Mus musculus: one gene and its partners. The protein of the gene in region 1 binds, or shares a complex with, the protein of each later gene. Links are inferred from orthologs where the notes say so. Each region holds a gene or a part of one and is shown in the gene's direction. Other genes may lie near its edges. The genes, in order: Tgfbr1, Gdf11, Tgfb1 and Tgfb3.

Evidence for each region.
Region 2: the proteins of Tgfbr1 (region 1) and Gdf11 are in contact, whole or in part, in a crystal structure (PDB 6MAC), measured with the Homo sapiens proteins. The link is inferred for Mus musculus from reciprocal best matches to the Homo sapiens genes TGFBR1 and GDF11. Residues at the interface, in NP_004603.1 of Homo sapiens: Ile78, Pro79, Asp81, Arg82, Phe84, Ala87, Pro88, Ser89, Ser90, Lys91; in NP_005802.1 of Homo sapiens: Phe322, Ala324, Phe325, Gly326, Trp327, Trp329, Ile330, Met382, Tyr384, Phe385, Asn386, Asp387, Ile392, Ile396, Pro397, Met399.
Region 3: the proteins of Tgfbr1 (region 1) and Tgfb1 are in contact, whole or in part, in a crystal structure (PDB 3KFD), measured with the Homo sapiens proteins. The link is inferred for Mus musculus from reciprocal best matches to the Homo sapiens genes TGFBR1 and TGFB1. Residues at the interface, in NP_004603.1 of Homo sapiens: His39, Leu40, Thr42, Lys43, Phe55, Asn68, Met70, Ile78, Phe84, Val85; in NP_000651.3 of Homo sapiens: Ala279, Leu280, Asp281, Asn283, Tyr284, Tyr328, Ile329, Trp330, Gln335, Lys338.
Region 4: the proteins of Tgfbr1 (region 1) and Tgfb3 are in contact, whole or in part, in a crystal structure (PDB 9B9F), measured with the Homo sapiens proteins. The link is inferred for Mus musculus from reciprocal best matches to the Homo sapiens genes TGFBR1 and TGFB3. Residues at the interface, in NP_004603.1 of Homo sapiens: His39, Leu40, Thr42, Lys43, Phe55, Met70, Ile78, Phe84, Val85, Lys91; in NP_001316868.1 of Homo sapiens: Ala301, Leu302, Asp303, Asn305, Tyr306, Tyr350, Leu351, Ser353, Thr357, Thr360, Leu364, Leu368.

The regions. Positions count from the first base shown.
Region 1 is NC_000070.6:47,390,873-47,395,075, forward strand, and holds part of Tgfbr1 (TGF-beta receptor type-1 isoform 1 precursor), read left to right. Parts: intron 1-2,374; coding exon 2,375-2,617; intron 2,618-4,203. UniProt on the Homo sapiens protein: Transmembrane serine/threonine kinase forming with the TGF-beta type II serine/threonine kinase receptor, TGFBR2, the non-promiscuous receptor for the TGF-beta cytokines TGFB1, TGFB2 and TGFB3.
Region 2 is NC_000076.6:128,888,598-128,893,513, reverse strand, and holds the start of Gdf11 (growth/differentiation factor 11 preproprotein), read left to right. Parts: upstream 1-1,795; 5' UTR 1,796-1,828; coding exon 1,829-2,267; intron 2,268-4,916. UniProt on the Homo sapiens protein: Secreted signal that acts globally to regulate anterior/posterior axial patterning during development. May play critical roles in patterning both mesodermal and neural tissues. It is required for proper vertebral patterning and orofacial development.
Region 3 is NC_000073.6:25,696,741-25,700,943, forward strand, and holds part of Tgfb1 (transforming growth factor beta-1 proprotein preproprotein), read left to right. Parts: intron 1-177; coding exon 178-255; intron 256-384; coding exon 385-532; intron 533-4,203. UniProt on the Homo sapiens protein: Transforming growth factor beta-1 proprotein: Precursor of the Latency-associated peptide (LAP) and Transforming growth factor beta-1 (TGF-beta-1) chains, which constitute the regulatory and active subunit of TGF-beta-1, respectively.
Region 4 is NC_000078.6:86,056,243-86,059,142, reverse strand, and holds the end of Tgfb3 (transforming growth factor beta-3 proprotein precursor), read left to right. Parts: intron 1-89; coding exon 90-243; intron 244-1,204; coding exon 1,205-1,363; 3' UTR 1,364-2,400; downstream 2,401-2,900. UniProt on the Homo sapiens protein: Transforming growth factor beta-3 proprotein: Precursor of the Latency-associated peptide (LAP) and Transforming growth factor beta-3 (TGF-beta-3) chains, which constitute the regulatory and active subunit of TGF-beta-3, respectively.

The DNA.
Region 1 (4,203 bases):
ATATATATATATATATATGTATATATATATATATATATATATATATATATATATATATATGTATATATATATATATATATATATATATATATACATATATATATAAAGAACTCAAGAAGTTGGACTCCAGAAAACCAAATAACCCTATTAAAAAATAGGGTACAGAACTAAACAAAGAATTCTCAACTGAGGAATACCAAATGGTTGAGAAGCACCTAAAAAAATGTTCAACATCCTTAGTCATCAGGGAAATGCAAATCAAAACAACCCTGAGATTCCACCTCACACCAGTCAGAATGGCTAAGATCAAAAACTCAGGTGACAGCAGATGCTGGTGAGGATGTGGAAAAAGAGGAATACTCCTCCATTGCTAGTAGGATTGCAAGCTGGTACAACTACGCTGGAAATCATTTTGGTGGTTCCTCGGAAAATTGGACATAGTACTTCCAGAAGATCCAACAATACCACTCCTGGGCATGTACGCAGAAGATGCTCCATCTTGTAATAAGGACACATGCTCCACTATGTTCATAGCAGCCTTATTTATAATAGCAAGAAGCTGGAAAGAACCCAGATGCCCCTCAGCAGAGGAATGGATACAGAAAATGTGGTACATTTACACAATGGAATACTTAGTACTCAGCTATTAAAAACAATTCATGAAATTCTTAGTCAGATGGATGTGTCTGGAGGATATCATCCTAAGTGAGGTAACCCAATCACAAAAGAACACACATGATATGCACTCACTGATAAGTGGATATTAGCCCAGAAGCTCAGAATACCCAATATACAATTTGCAAAACACATGAAACTCAAAAAGAAGGAAGACCAAAGTGTGGATACTTCAATCCTTCGGGGGAACAAAATTCCCATGGAAGGAGTTACAGAGACAAAGTTCAGAGCAGAGACTGAAGGAATGACCATCTAGAAACTGCCCCACCTGGGGATCCATCCCATAAACAACCACCAAACCCAGATACTATTGCAGATGCCAGCAAGAGCTTGCTGACAGGAACCTGTTATAGCATCTCTTGAGAGGCTCTGCCAGTGCCTGACTAATACAGAAGTGGATGCTCACAGTCATCTGTTGGACGGAGCACAGGGTCCCCAATGAAGGAGCTAGAGAAAGTTCCCAAGGAGCTGAAGAGGTTTTCAGCCCCATAGGAGGAACAACAATATGAATTAACCAGTACTCCTAGATCTCCCTGGGACTAAACCACCAATCAAAGAAAATACATGGTGGGACTCATGGCTTTAGCTGCATATGTAGCAGAGAACGGCCTAGTCAGTCATCAGTGGGAGGAGAGGCCCTTGGTCCTGTGAAGGTTCTATGCCCCAGTATAGGGGAATGCCAGGGCCAGGAAGTGGGAGTGGGTGGGTTGGGAAGCAGGGGGAGGAGGGAGAGGATAGGGGATTTTCAGAGAGGAAAGTAGGAAAGGGGATAACATTTGAAATGTACGTAAAGTACCTAATAAAAAAATACAGTTGGCAAAATAGTCTAGAAAGGATGTGCATACACAATGTATTAATATCCAGTGCTGGAATGCAGAGGTTGAAGAATCCCAAATTTGAGACCAGCCTGGATGAACTATGGTGATAAAACCCCGTCTCACAAAAAATTGAGGGAAAGAGTTAAAAATTTATAAATAAGCAAATAGAATAAAAAACAAAAGTAAACAAAGGAAGTCTTAGGCTTTAAAAAGTTGGTGGAAGGGCTGGTGTGATGGCTCAGTGGGTAAGAGTACCCGACTGCTCTTCCAAAGGTCCAGTGTTCAAGTCCCAGCAACCACATGGTGGCTCACAACCATCCGTAACGAGATCTGACGCCCTCTTCTGGTGTGTCTGAAGACAGCTACAGTGTACTTACATATAATGAATAAATAAATCTTAAAAAAAATAGTTGGTGGAAAAGTATATAATAAAATATGAGTCTGAAGCTTTGCAAGGAAGTTGATAATTTGTAAAAACTTTATTAACTATATTTATATATATTTCTTCTGCTATAATCCTGCAGTAAACTTGGAATAAGAAGAAAAGACCAAAGTGCTTTATAAAAAAATGAGTTATTAGAAGTTGTTTCAAATAATTGTTTACTTTTCTTGTTTACCTGAGGTGACAAGTGGGGAAGGAGGTCTAGAAGGGGCTTAGCTAATGAACCCAATGGTGAACTATAAGATAGGCTGGGGATACTCAGGAAGAGTGAGAGGGTACTGACAGCTGATGGTCTGACAAAGGAGACCAGGGAGGGAAGCCCTGTGTGACTAAATGATAGTAGTGGACACGGGGGTGGGGGTGGAGGGATATGGAGGGTTTGGGAACTGTGAGTGCCACCTACAGTGTTTTGTTTCTCTTGATGTTTATTTCATTGGAGGACCTTTTTCAGAAAAGCAGTCAGCTGGCCTTGGTCCTGTGGAGCTGGCAGCTGTCATTGCTGGTCCAGTCTGCTTCGTCTGCATTGCACTTATGCTGATGGTCTATATCTGCCATAACCGCACTGTCATTCACCACCGTGTGCCAAATGAAGAGGATCCATCACTAGATCGCCCTTTCATTTCAGAGGGCACCACCTTAAAAGATTTAATTTATGATATGACAACATCAGGGTCTGGATCAGGTAATGTTATTGTTTACCTTTTTCTTAAGTCTTAACTCATTTTTCCTATTTTATTTAATTAGTTGGTTGGGGCATTTGGCTTAATTTGTTAAAACTTTGGAATAGTATGAGTACTATACAGGATTGCAGCCTATTGAAAACTGTTGAGCTTGCTGTCTGACTGGATAGTTTAATATAGATAAATTGGAACTTGGTTTTACCATTGAAACAAGTCACAGATGTATAGGCTTCCACACATCCTCCCCTATATAACTTGAGCCTGGGAGGTAGAAAGTTGGACACCATTCTTACAAAGATAGAGCTGCAGCTAAAAGATGCATCTGCCATTCTGCAGCTCTGAGACTGTTCTGGAATTTGGAAGCTGATTAGCCTCTTTAACATGATACAAAATTGTTGTTTTAATAAAAAGTGTGTGTGTGTGTGTGTGTGTGTGTGTGTGTGTGTGTGTTTGCACACACATGCCTGCCAACCACAGTATCCATGTGGAAGTCAGAGGACAACTTGAAGGAGTCAGTTCTCTCTCTCCTCTGTATGGATCCTGGGAAACAAACTCGTGTTAGCAGGCTTGGTGGCAGATGATCAGACCAGTCTCGTTTATTGTTTAAAATTAAACTATTGCATCTTTAGTAACTTTTTACATTTAAAAGAAAATTTCAAACAAAGAAACAAAAATAGTAGTCCTGTGAATGAATGTTTGTTTTTCTTGGCTTTGTTTGTTGATTTTTGTGGACTCAGAAGTAGACTGGCTGATTGTCAGGATCATGCTGAAATAGATTTTAGCATAATAGTATTTTGCTTTTAGACCAAAGAGAAAATACCTTTTTTTCCCTTGTCTGTGGTTTGGAAGAAGACTAAGAGAAGTGTGCCTCCTTTACAGTTTTGGACTTTAGGGCTGGAGAGATGGCACAGTGCTTAAGAGCACTGCTGTTCTTCCAGAGGTCCTGAGTTCAAATCAAAATACTCACATGTTGGCTCTCACTGTCTTTAACTAATCTCTGGAACCAATGCCCTCTTCTGATGTGTAGATAATGCATATAGACAAAATACCTATATGTATAAAATACATAAGTAAATTATAAGAAAAACAATTTTGGAATTTGATGTGTGGCTAGCAATCAATAGGTTTAGACTCTAACACATGCTCTATGACTTTGGTCAGTTCATATTTCCTCTTTGTTTTTGTTTGTTTGTCTTTAAGCTTATAACTTGCATTTTTATTTGATATTTTCTTTATTTACATTTAAAATGTTATCTCCTTTCCCAGTTCCCTTCCCAGCCCCGAAGTCTCCTATCCCATACTCCCTCCCCCTGCTTCTATGAGGATGTTCACCCACCCAGTCACTCCCGCCTCACCACCCTAACATTCCCCTACACTGGGGCATCGAGCCTTCAGAGGACCACGAGCCTCTCCTCCCATTGATGCCTGACAAGGCCATCCTCTGCTACATATGCAGCTGGAGCCATGGGTCCCTCCATGTGTACTCTTTGGTTGGTGGTTTAGTCCCTGGGAGCTCTGGGGGTGGAGGGGGGGAGGTCAGGTTGGTTGATATTGTTGTTCTTCTTATAAGGTTGCAAACCCCTTCAGC
Region 2 (4,916 bases), on another chromosome or scaffold:
TCCCAATAGTGAGGTCTATACATTTTACATTTATCTATATATTTTTTTGAGACAGGGCCTTCCTACTGACATTTATACATTTTGTTCAGTGAACACTGCGCGAGACACTGGAAGAGCAAATCTCAACCCCCTAACATTTTCAGTTTGCCAAGGGATCTTCAGAGACATGGGTCAAGGCATGCTTATACAGAGAGCTCTCTGGAGGCTGAGGCAGGAGGATAACTGAGTTTGAGGCCAGCCTGGGATGCATCTGAGACTCTGTCTCAGAGGATAGAGGAAAAGGAGAAGAAAGGGTTTAGGGGAGGGGAAGAGGGGGAAAAAGAGAAACAGAGACCTGGGAAGAGGGAACCAGCAGTAGTGGCTGAGCACACCTGTACACTGTCTTCCTCGTGTACTGAGCTGTCTGGCTGCGCTTAGGACCACACCTGAAGACCATGGCTGGTCCCATTCCAGAGTGGCTCCCCTTGGGGTTTGCTATCTCCACATTAGACATCTGAGTATAGACCCTGCTCTTACCCTTACGCCTAAAACTTCAAGCTTTCTCAGACATGTAAGACCTTACAAACACAAAGACGTAGCTAGGAACCCAGAGAGAGGGTCCAGATTCCTCGCCAAGCACCACTTTCAAGCCCTACCTCATCCCTCATCTGGCTCTTCCCCTCATGGCTCCCACCCTTTCCAGCCCGATCACGATCACTCTCTTTGTTCTATTAAACCTCAATCTCAAGATCACAGGCCTCCTAGATAGTTTTCTTCCGGGCTCAGTACTTGTCAACTTCTCAGCTTGTCCCTGGCCTCTTCCTCTCCTGACCGCCTTCATCCCTGTGATAAATCAGCCTGATGTTCCATTTTATGGGTTCTTTAAACATCCTGGGCTACCTCTGGTAGCTGAGGCTATTCTTCACATCTCCACCTCTTCCCCTTGGGTGTCTCTTTGCGCTCCAACCAAGGCTGACTTGTGTGTGTTACTTCCTCCCCTGGTCTTTTCTCTGCACCTGCCTCCTCAGGGGTTGCTACCTCCAAGGTATCCCCTGTCTCTGCCTCTCCCTCTTGCGCAGGGTACCATCAGCTCCCTCTGACCCATCCGTTCTCTTGCCCACCTCTCCTGCTCTCTCCTGTTCGACTCCGTAGAATTCGGTTAGCCACCCCTCTTTGCGCTCTACCTTTGTCTTTGACTCTCTCCACTCTTAACTGTCCCACTAGTTTTTCTGGTCGTCTTCAGTCTTCGCTCTTGCTCTCTAGCTAAGTCTCTCCCTTCTGTGACTTCTTTTCTCTCTTTTGTCTCTCCCTCTTCCCTTCCTATCTGGGTATCTTTGGATCTGCCTCTTCCCCCACCCCCAACCCCTACCCACCGCTCCGTCTGTCCCCGATCTCTCTGACTCGGTCCCTCACGGCCTCTCCCCCCCTCCCCCTCATCTTTCGGTCTCTTCATCTTTCTCTGGACCCGTGCTCGCTCGTGTTCTCTCTCTCTCTCTCTCTCTCTCTCTCTCTCTCTCTCTCTCTCTTTTCCTCGGTTCTCTCCGGCTCCCTCTCTCGCCTCGGATGACAGCGCTACCTCTTTTGTTGGCTCCGCAGCCAATCGCGGCCGCTGACGACACGGGGGCCGGGGCTATAAAGGGCCCGGCCCGGGCTTGGGCCCCCCCAGCTGCCCGCCCCGGCCGCCCGCCCGCCCCGCCCGTGCGCCCGCCGCCCCCGGCCCCCGGCCCCCCCTCGGCCGGGCAGCCCCCAATCCCGCGCCGCCCGGACCCCCTCCTCCTCCCTCTTCCCTCCGCCCCCTCCCCGCGGGACTCCGGCGTCCCCGCCCCCCAGTCCTCCCCTCCCCTGCAGCATGGTGCTCGCGGCCCCGCTGCTGCTGGGCTTCCTGCTCCTCGCCCTGGAGCTGCGGCCCCGGGGGGAGGCGGCCGAGGGCCCCGCGGCGGCGGCGGCGGCAGCGGCGGCGGCGGCCGGGGTCGGGGGGGAGCGCTCGAGCCGGCCGGCCCCGTCCGCTCCGCCGGAGCCGGACGGCTGCCCCGTGTGCGTGTGGCGGCAGCACAGCCGCGAGCTGCGCCTAGAGAGCATCAAGTCGCAGATCCTGAGCAAACTGCGGCTCAAGGAGGCGCCCAACATCAGCCGGGAGGTAGTGAAGCAGCTGCTGCCCAAGGCGCCGCCGCTGCAGCAGATCCTGGATCTGCACGACTTCCAAGGCGACGCGCTGCAGCCTGAGGACTTCTTGGAAGAGGACGAGTACCACGCTACCACCGAGACGGTCATAAGCATGGCCCAGGAGAGTAAGTGGGCTGCGGGGTGCGCGCGGTGCGGTGCAGTCCGGGAAGGACCCGGAAGCCCTTTCTGCGAAAACTTGACGGATTGGGGAGCCGGGCCACTCCACACAACTTTTTGAGCGGAGAAGATGGGCAGCGGAGTTGAGTGCACGCCCCGTTCTAGGGTGGGGGGGTGGAGGATGGCGCGTTGGGGGAGGGGGGCCAAACCAGGCAGGTTGTGAGCTATTGCTTTCCATCCCTTGTGAGAAAAAGATTCAAGTTGAAGTAGTCCTAGAAACTGGCACCCTACAGTGACTTTTCTGGAGCGTTAGGTGGGGAGCTTCCGTGACCCGTGCAGTCTCAGCTGGGCCGCAGTGCCATCTTCCCACTGCTCTGGCACCAGCATCAACTCCTTGCCCGGTGCTCCGGAAGGCGCCCACCGGCTTTCGGAAAAACTAAGTGTTCCTCTAAGGCCATGGCATAGGACCCAAACCCGGTGTACGTCTCAGCAACTCAGCTGACACCTCTCCTTTCTGCACCTGATCTCGCACTGGGTATCCCCTAGGACCTAGAAGAGCTGTTCCTTCCTGGTACCGAAAGAGCTCAAATAACTCAACTCCACTGCGCTTGCCACTTAACGAGTATCATTTGGTTACTCTCATCTTAGCGTGCTCACTCCCTGTCCTACCCACAGCTGGAGCCAAAGAAGACCCAGGGAGAAAGAACTAGATGAGGGGGATGGGAGAACCCAGGCATCCGAGCCCCTGGCCAAACGGAGGATGAACACTCTGATAGACAGGAGCGGCTTTGAAATTTTATGGCCTGGAAAATCCAGGCCAATACTACCGCCCCCACTGCCTTCTCTCCCTAGGGTCAGGTGACTCCCTTTCCCCTCCCCCACTGACTGTAGTCCCCCCCCCCCCCAACTCCAGGGAACCAGGCTTTCTCTATTCCCTAGTGGTTTGGCAAGCCCCCCCTCCTTTGGTTTTATGGCTCTGAACAGAAGGGGGGGCTGGTTTATTGGCAGATGGGTCATAAAAAGCTGGGGGTTGCGGGAAATCCTAGTGGCCCACCCCCATGGTAGAGGTACAGGAACCCAGGTGTGCATTTGGAAGGTTGAGAGCCTGGCACTTGCCACCCAGTTTCTGCAGAATTCAACTCCAACTTGGTTAGGATTGTAAAGAAAACTCAGAGTCAGGAAACTCTCTCTCTCTCTCTCTCTCTCTCTCTCTCTCTCTCTCTCTCTCTCTCTCTCTCTCTCTCTCTCTCGTGTGTATGTGTATGTGTATGTGTGTGAGTGTGTGTGTGTGTGTGTGTGTGTGTGTGTGTGCACAGAGATCTGATCTTGGGTTCTCAGGCTCCCTTGTTCTTATTGCTTCTACTTTTGGAAACCAGGGTCAGTCTTTGATTGACTAAGGGCAGGGATAGGGAAAAGATTCTAGAAAACAGTTGTAGGGAAATAATGAATGACAAAATTTTCTGGAAGATGCAGGATATATAGAGAAAAGATACTCTGCTCTGTGTGATGTAAAGTGTGTATTTCCAGGGTGAGTGACCCAGCTGCAGGCTTCCCATTGCCTTCACTATCCCTAGCCTCCTGTAACCAGAAGGCTTGAGTCCAGAATTAACTCTGGTAGTGGAGAGCAGCAGGAAGTGAAGGGACTCTGAATGCACAAATTGGGCAGTAGCCATTAAGCCTGGGGGTGGGATTGTACCAGTAGATGAAGTTGGGTCTCACCCTGACTTCCATTTTAGTGCCACTCCAGGACTTAGGTAACCCAGGAACTGGGTTTCAAACCAGGTATTGTACTTCCCCTTTAAGAGTCTAGCTGCGACCTTAAGAGAGGGAGGGGGAGTAGAGGGGAGGGGAGGGAGAGAGGAGAGGGGGGAAAAGGAAAAAGAGACTTTTATAGTCTAATCCCCAGGGACCCGCTTTAATAAGAGACTTGTGCTCTGCTAATCGGGGGAGGTGTTTGTCAGCAGAGATGGCCTCTGCTCCCCTCCCCCTGCCTCCCCTCCCCCAGCCAACCCCGGACCCCAGCCCCCACCTTTCCTAGGCTGTTCGGCCTGCCCTAGTTCCCTCTACCCTCTCACTCTCCCACCCCAGCCTTCATCCCTGGGAACCCAGCCCCCTGCTCTTCTAGGAGCCAAGCCCTGCCCCTCAGTTTGTCTCTCCTGTGCACGCTAAGAGGCCCCTGCCCTCTCGCCCAACCTCCTGCCCCTGGGCCATCCAGCCTGAGTTGGGAGAGGGTGTGTGGTGGGGTGGAGGCTGTAGGCAGAGAGGGGGTTGGGCCTTTGCTGAAAATAGTGCAGTGACCTCTCTCCCCCACCAGCACCGCCTCCTAAACCTGACCTGCTGCCTGCCACCAACCAAATCAATCCAACACAGATGTGGCCCCTTCCCCTCCCCACCAGAGCTCCATAGCTTTACCTGCTTCTTTGTTCCTTCTTCTGCACCTTTCCATCTCTTCTTTACCCCACGAGGGTCCCACCTTTGCCCTCTTACCTTACCCACTCCAGTCCAGTCTACCCAGTGTTTCCATTTCCCAAACATTTGCTCCCATTACTGTGATCTACTTGTTCCGTTCCTCTGCTGGTCTTGGTCTAACCTGTCTTCATTCTGTCTCTTCATTCTTATCTTATCATCTTCAACCTCTTCCTTTCCTTACATCTTGT
Region 3 (4,203 bases), on another chromosome or scaffold:
GCCTTTCCCGAGGGGTTGATGTTTGAGCTGAGCCCTGAATAAGGGGAGAAGGGTCCAGCAATTCAAAGAATAGGAGCAAGAATGAAGTGTGGGGTGACTAGCCGGGAGCCCCCAAGGCTGGCAGTTTCCTGTCCCCTCTTCCCCCTCATATCCTCAGACTCCCTTCCTCTCCCGCAGACGGAATACAGGGCTTTCGATTCAGCGCTCACTGCTCTTGTGACAGCAAAGATAACAAACTCCACGTGGAAATCAACGGTGAGCTAACTTCCCGGGTCCATCCTGACACAGGCCCCTCATGGTCTGTGTGCACGTGCATGTGTGTGAAATCTCACCCATCCCTCTAAGTGTGTGTATGTCCTTCACCACAACATCCAAACCCAACAGGGATCAGCCCCAAACGTCGGGGCGACCTGGGCACCATCCATGACATGAACCGGCCCTTCCTGCTCCTCATGGCCACCCCCCTGGAAAGGGCCCAGCACCTGCACAGCTCACGGCACCGGAGAGCCCTGGATACCAACTATTGCTTCAGGTAAACACTGTCTCTCTCCGAGGCTGTGCAGGCTGCGGGCTGACTGCAGCCTGTGGACTGGTGTGCCACCATGTATGCCTGCAGGGCTTGGGGACAAGTTCCTGGTTCTGTGGGCAGCTGAGAGTCCTAGAATGAGGGGTGTTTTCTTCCTGGAGTGCTGGGATCAGGGAATTCAACAAGAGTTGGAAGTCTGTTGGAAGGTTGTCTGGTTGGGTTTTAAAATTCTTGCCAGGCTTCTGCCACTTTGGGATGCTAATGAAAGAATTTACTGTGAGCCATGGAGCGTGTTGACCCCAGGAAAGCTGGAGTGCTGGGATCCAAACATTTGGGTTCCGAATCAGAAGGTGGTCTGCACTGGGTTCCCACACTCTTGGCAGATGGTGGTCTCCAGTGCTGGTGGATGAGAGCGGCAAATCCTGGGTCTCAGAATGGCAGGGCTGGCAGGGAGATGTTAGCATCTAGAGTGGAGGTGGAGAAAGCCAGAAAGTGAGTTTCCTGAGGGCCAGCGCTTTATCTGGCAGTGGTGCACCCTGAGGAGGTGAGAAGATAGAACTTCTGAGATGTATGTAGGCTTGGAAGTGTGAAGTGTTGGAATATAGTACTGAGATAGGGAACTCTGAGGAGACAAGATCTCTCAGAGTCAGAGAGTGGGCGTCCTAGTGTATCCAGAATGCCCGTACCAAGGGCCAAAGCTTTTTGGTCATTGTTTTTAAGTTATATCTCTGTGTGTGTGTAGGGCCATTGTGTGTGTGTGTCTGTGTGTATGTAGGGGCATCCATGCCACAAAACTGTGTGACGGTCAGAGGACAACTGTTGGGAGTCCGTTCTCCTTCCACCATGTGAGTCCCAGATATAAGACTCAGGTCATTGGGCCTGGCTGCGAGCACCTTTGCCTGCTGAGCCATCTTGTTAGTTCTCCTTTGTTTGGTTTTGTTCGAGACAGGGCTTTGCTGTGTAATCCAGGCTGGCCTCAGATTCACTCCTTTAGCCCAGACTGTCTTGAATTCTCTGTCCTGGGATTACAGATGTCACACAACCACCCAGTTCCAGAATGGTAGACTCATATTAAGCCTCGGTACTGTGGATGAGAGAAAGAAATTGGAACGTTAGATCCTAGAAGGCATGAAATTCAGGGGTGTTGAGAGATGAGAGCAGTGAGCTGACCTATCCCTTACCTGCTTCAGACTTTATAGAGTTCTGTGTTACATATCGGTCCTTGGCTGGCCGGCCTCCTCCTCCTCCTCCTCCTCCTCCTCCTCCTCCTTCTCCTCCTCCTCCTTGTCTTCACCTTTGGTTGTCAGCCTTCACATAGGATCAGATGTCCGGTCTTCATACTGCAGGTTACTAAGAGATGCAGGAAGCTATGTAAACTCTGTTCCTCACATACTGGGAAACAAACTCAGGGAATCATGAAAATCTCTTTGTCTGTCTGTCTGACTGACTGACTGTGTCTGTCTGCCTGTCTCTCTCTTATATTTGTTTTGCCTATGCCTGATGTATATGTGGGCTCTGGGAATCCGAAACCAGGTCTTCATGCTTGCACAGCGAGCACTTAATTCCCTGAGCCAAGTCCCCGGCTGTGACAAGCAAAATTTTGCATGGAAGAACACCATGCCATCGAGCAAGGCCTATCAGACACATCAACCATGATCTGATGGGAACTGTAGCTCCAACTCCCATGTTGCAGGGAACTGCAACAGAGGGACAGACTAACAACATTAGCCAGCACCACAGGGACGCACCCAGCAAAGTGCAGATGGTGGGAAACCTAGTCATTTCTTCAACAGATACAGTGCAAAGAAGGGAGGGGAGGATATATAGTCCACACTACTAGAAGAGAGAGGAAGAGAGGGCTGAGAGGTTGGAGGAGGAGGAAAGAAAAGGAAAGGGAAAAAGATGTTTATGGGACACAGTGGGAAACATGAACCTTGAGTAGTATTTGATTTTAGTGATTTAATGTTAAATTTTTGCCTGGGGAAGGGGGCTGGAGAGATGGCTCAGTGGTTAAAAGCACTGGCTGCTTTTCCAGAGGACTTGCGTTCAGTTCCCACCACCCATAATAAGGATCACACCTGTCTATAATTCTAGCTCTAGAGGATTTGATGCCCTCACACATGCATAAGTGCAGGTAAAACACCAATATACATTAAAAAAAAAAACAAAACAAAACAAAACAAAAAAACCAACCCTCCCTAGGATTTTGTTGTTGCTGCTGCTGCATTTGTGATACTGAGAAAACCCAGTACCTTGTACATAGTAAAGAAGCACTCTACCACTGAGCCACGCCCCCAGCCCCTCACTGGGGGATTCTAGGCAGGGGCTCTACCACCAAGCCACGCCCCCAGCCCCTCACTGGGGGATTCTAGGCAGGGGCTCTACCACCAAGCCACGCCCCCAGCCCCTCACTGGGGGATTCTAGGCAGGGGCTCTACCACTGATTTATATTTTATATTGATTTATACTTTTGATTCATGTTTAAATTGTAAAATATTCCTCACTTTCTAAGAGAAAGTGAACTTTTCTACAAAAGTTCATTAAACAAATGAAAAAACTACAGTGGCGGAAAGAAAGTAGGTGGAATGAAATTGGCCACGAGTCAGCAACTGTTGTCATTTACAGTTGTGGAGATGCGAATTAGTTAAGAATCCATAATTCAGAAGTCCAAAATCTCGCTGGCCATGGTGAGCAAGGCTGTAATCCTAGCGCTGGAGTAGGAACGGGAACCGCAGGAGGTCAAAGTCATTGATAGGTACGTCGTGTGTTTGTGGCAACCAATCAGACCCTGCCTCGAGAAAGGGGGTGGGGCATCTGGAAGGATGAGGAGCACAGCTGCTCTTTCAGAGCACGCAGATTCATTTCCCAGCAACCTACATGGCTGCTCCCAGCAATCCATAGTCCCGTTCCAGGGAATCTAACGCCTCCTCCTGGCCCCCATGGGCTCTGCACGTATGTGGTGTGTGTACACACATGTTCAGAGAAATACTCCTACACATAAAACTTTTTTTTTTTTTTTTTCCGAGACAGGGTTTCTTTGTATAGCCCTGGCTGTCCTGGAACTCACTCTGTAGACCAGGCTGGCCTCGAACTCAGAAATTCACCTGCCTCTGCCGACCGAGTGCTGGGATTAAAGGCGTGTGCCACCACGCCCGGCTCGCTCTCTCTCTCTCTCTCTCTCTCTCTCCCTTTCTTTCTTTCTTTCTTTCTTTCTTTCTTTCTCTCTTTCTTTCTTTCTTTCAAGTTGACAGGTGTGGTGCATGTCTCTGATCCCAGCATTCAGGAAGCAGAGGCAGGCAGATCTCTGAGTTTGAGGCCAGTGACAAACAAATTTCAGGCAAATACATAGATCCTGTCTCAAGAAATATGAATAGTAATAAAAATAAAATAAATATGTAAAGTCTATGTAAATATCCCCTTACCCCAAAAAGCTATACAGTCTAGAATGTTTCTGGTCCCTAACGTTTCTGAAAAGGGGTATTCCGTTTATATTGTAACGCACTGCTTCTGTGTCTCTTCACAATTTTCCATGGCAAAGCTGTTTTTATGCCATCTTAAAAACCACCTCCCCCGGGGTCCTCAGGGCTCCTCACAGATTAGGCCCTGCTGGGTCTCAGACTGGCAAGGGAGGCTTGAAAAAGCAGTGACTCTGAAAACCCTGAGACCGCGTCCCAGTA
Region 4 (2,900 bases), on another chromosome or scaffold:
TCTTAATGGGAGACAGGAAGACACATATGAGACTTCTTTTATCATCATGCTCCCTTTTTGTTGATTTCCTATATATGTTTTCTTCATAGCAACCTGGAGGAGAACTGCTGTGTACGCCCCCTTTATATTGACTTCCGGCAGGATCTAGGCTGGAAATGGGTCCACGAACCTAAGGGTTACTATGCCAACTTCTGCTCAGGCCCTTGCCCATACCTCCGCAGCGCAGACACAACCCATAGCACGGTATGAGCTAGGCGCATGCTCTTTGGATACTGGGGCTCCCCTGGCCGGACTACTTGCCAGTGTGAGTGAATGAAGGATTGAATGTTGAATGAATGGTAATCTTGGATGAGAAAATCCCTGTAACAACGTTCTGATCTTGGCAGGCTGGTCCACTGCTACTCAGCTGCACTCTGCAATTTAAATCCCTACCACGGGGACTAGCACATGGGTAAAACGTATGCTTAGTGTGTGCCATGCTCTGGATTCAGTCTCTAGCAAACACACTTACCTGAACATGCACACAGCCATGTGCACACACATGCAGAGTTCCCACCATAGTTTCAAGCATCCTTTTTATTTGTCTAAAGCTTCTGTACTATGAAAGTTATTCAGCTGTCGCATGTCACTCTGTGTCACAGATGTATGCACCTGGTTGGTAAGATGTGGGGCCCAGAGAAGTTTCTACCTCCGTTAAGACAGAATGACGCATGTAGGAAAGGAATAGCGATAGAAAGGGCGGAGGGTCCGCAGCCTCAGCAACCTACCTTCCTGGGGTTCGGGGGGTGGGGAATACTGAGTAGGGCGGTAGGCTGTGAGCCAGTTCCAGGCAGCACATCACTGCTACATCCCGTCTGGGGCACACACATTCTTACAACTACTAAATGTGCCAAAGCAGTGCTGAGTGTGCACATTACCCACCAATGTGGAAACTTACAGACAGGAAGACCTTTTGGAGGAGTTTCTTATCAACTGCTCCTTCGGGTGCTTCAGTTAGGAACATAATGCAGTCCATGGGTTATGCCTTCTGCCATACTGGATGACTGCAGCTCGTCTCTTATTCAAACAGTTCCCACAATCCCTTTTAAGCAGATCTCCATGGCCACTCTGCCTGCTTAGGGTAGCCCCCACAACTTGCATGGTTTCTGGGTCACAGGCTCAAGGCTTGGCTTTTTCCTGCTAAATGTGTGGCTCCACCCCACAGGTGCTTGGACTATACAACACCCTGAACCCAGAGGCGTCTGCCTCGCCATGCTGCGTCCCCCAGGACCTGGAGCCCCTGACCATCTTGTACTATGTGGGCAGAACCCCCAAGGTGGAGCAGCTGTCCAACATGGTGGTGAAGTCGTGTAAGTGCAGCTGAGGCCAGCCTGCCACAGAGGAGGGAAAACTGCCACCACAGACTGCTGCTCCTTGGAAAACCAAAGCGACAGACCTCACCCTAGAGGCCTGGAGCCCAGAAGCCCTGGCTCCCGGCGAAAGGCCGAGAGGGAGGCTTCCTTCTGGAACATTTCTTTCTGCTAGCTTTGAGAATCACTGTGGTAAAGAAAGTGTGGGTTGGTTAGGGGAAGGCACACTGTTGAGAACATGGAATTTCTGTGGTGCAGGCAGAGGTGGTGGGGTAGAGAACGGATAGCGAGTGGACATTGTGAGTGGCAATGGGCCTCGGGCTACCCTACAAAAGATGAAGGGTAGAGTGGTCAGTCAGGTGAAGGCCAGACTGGAAGGCATTTCAGGTCTGAGGTCAGCTTTGCTCACTGCAGTACATCTGCTCTAGGGAATTGGGATATCGTTAGAGGCGGCCAAGCATTTTTCTTCAGTTTACCAAGCCAAAGTCCCCTGGAATCATATCTTGCACTGCCTGGAATTAAGGACAATCCGTTCTTTCTGCAACTGTCTTTTCACCTCGATCAGCATCATGAGTCATCACAGATCATGTAATTAGTTTCTGGGCCAGCAACTAGCTATCTCAGGTCCCTTAGAGATGCTGGACTCAAAAGCAGAGGTCAGAATTGGTTCTCTCATGTATTCCCTGGGGGCCCCTCCTCCTGCCTTCCTTCTTGGCCGCATTTCCCCTTGGATATTTGGCTAGACACCTTCCGGGTCAGGGTGTATTCTCCGGATTCAGAGTCCACATAGCCTGGGGCGCCATTTCCCTCCTACCCTAGACCCCGTTGCTCCCCAGGTGTTCCTGGAAGCAGGTGCTACATGCCAAGTATCCGGGGAGCCTCCCATGTCTGACATGATGACTCGGCCCCAGATGCACAGACTGAAGTATAAAGACAAATACAAATATTACTCTCAGAATCTTTGTATAAATAAATATTTTTGGGGAATCATGGATGACTTCATCTCCTGGAAGGTTCTTCTAAAACAGTAAAGACCTCACTTTAAGGTGTATGTTTGGACTCCAGAGATATTCCTTTCACTGCACACTGGCATCTACTCACCAGAGATAACTGGAATTCAGGCAGAGCCTCTCTCCATCGTTGTTTGGGATGAGTAGACTGAGCTGGCTCACTGAGAAAACTGCACCACTTCCCGGGCACACTTCCCTCCTGCAGGGTGCAGAATTCTCAAACACGGAGGCAATGGCTTAGATGTGTGAACATTTATACGGATCTTGTGGCTGGGGAGAGATGGTTCAGTGGGTAAGTGTCTGTGAGTTTAGCTCCCTGGCACCCATATGAAATGGAGGCACAGTAGTGCCATGTGGTATCTCAGTCCTGGAGAGGGGGGAAGTGGAGGAGACGGGTGAATCCTGGAGGCTCTCTGGCCAGTCAGTCTAGCTCACGTCACAAGTTCCAGGTCCAATGAGAGAGCCTGTCTCAAGAAATAAGAGGGAGAAGGAGGCACCTCTAGCCTCCATGTGTGTTTTCATGGGGAGGTGCGCGCGCGCT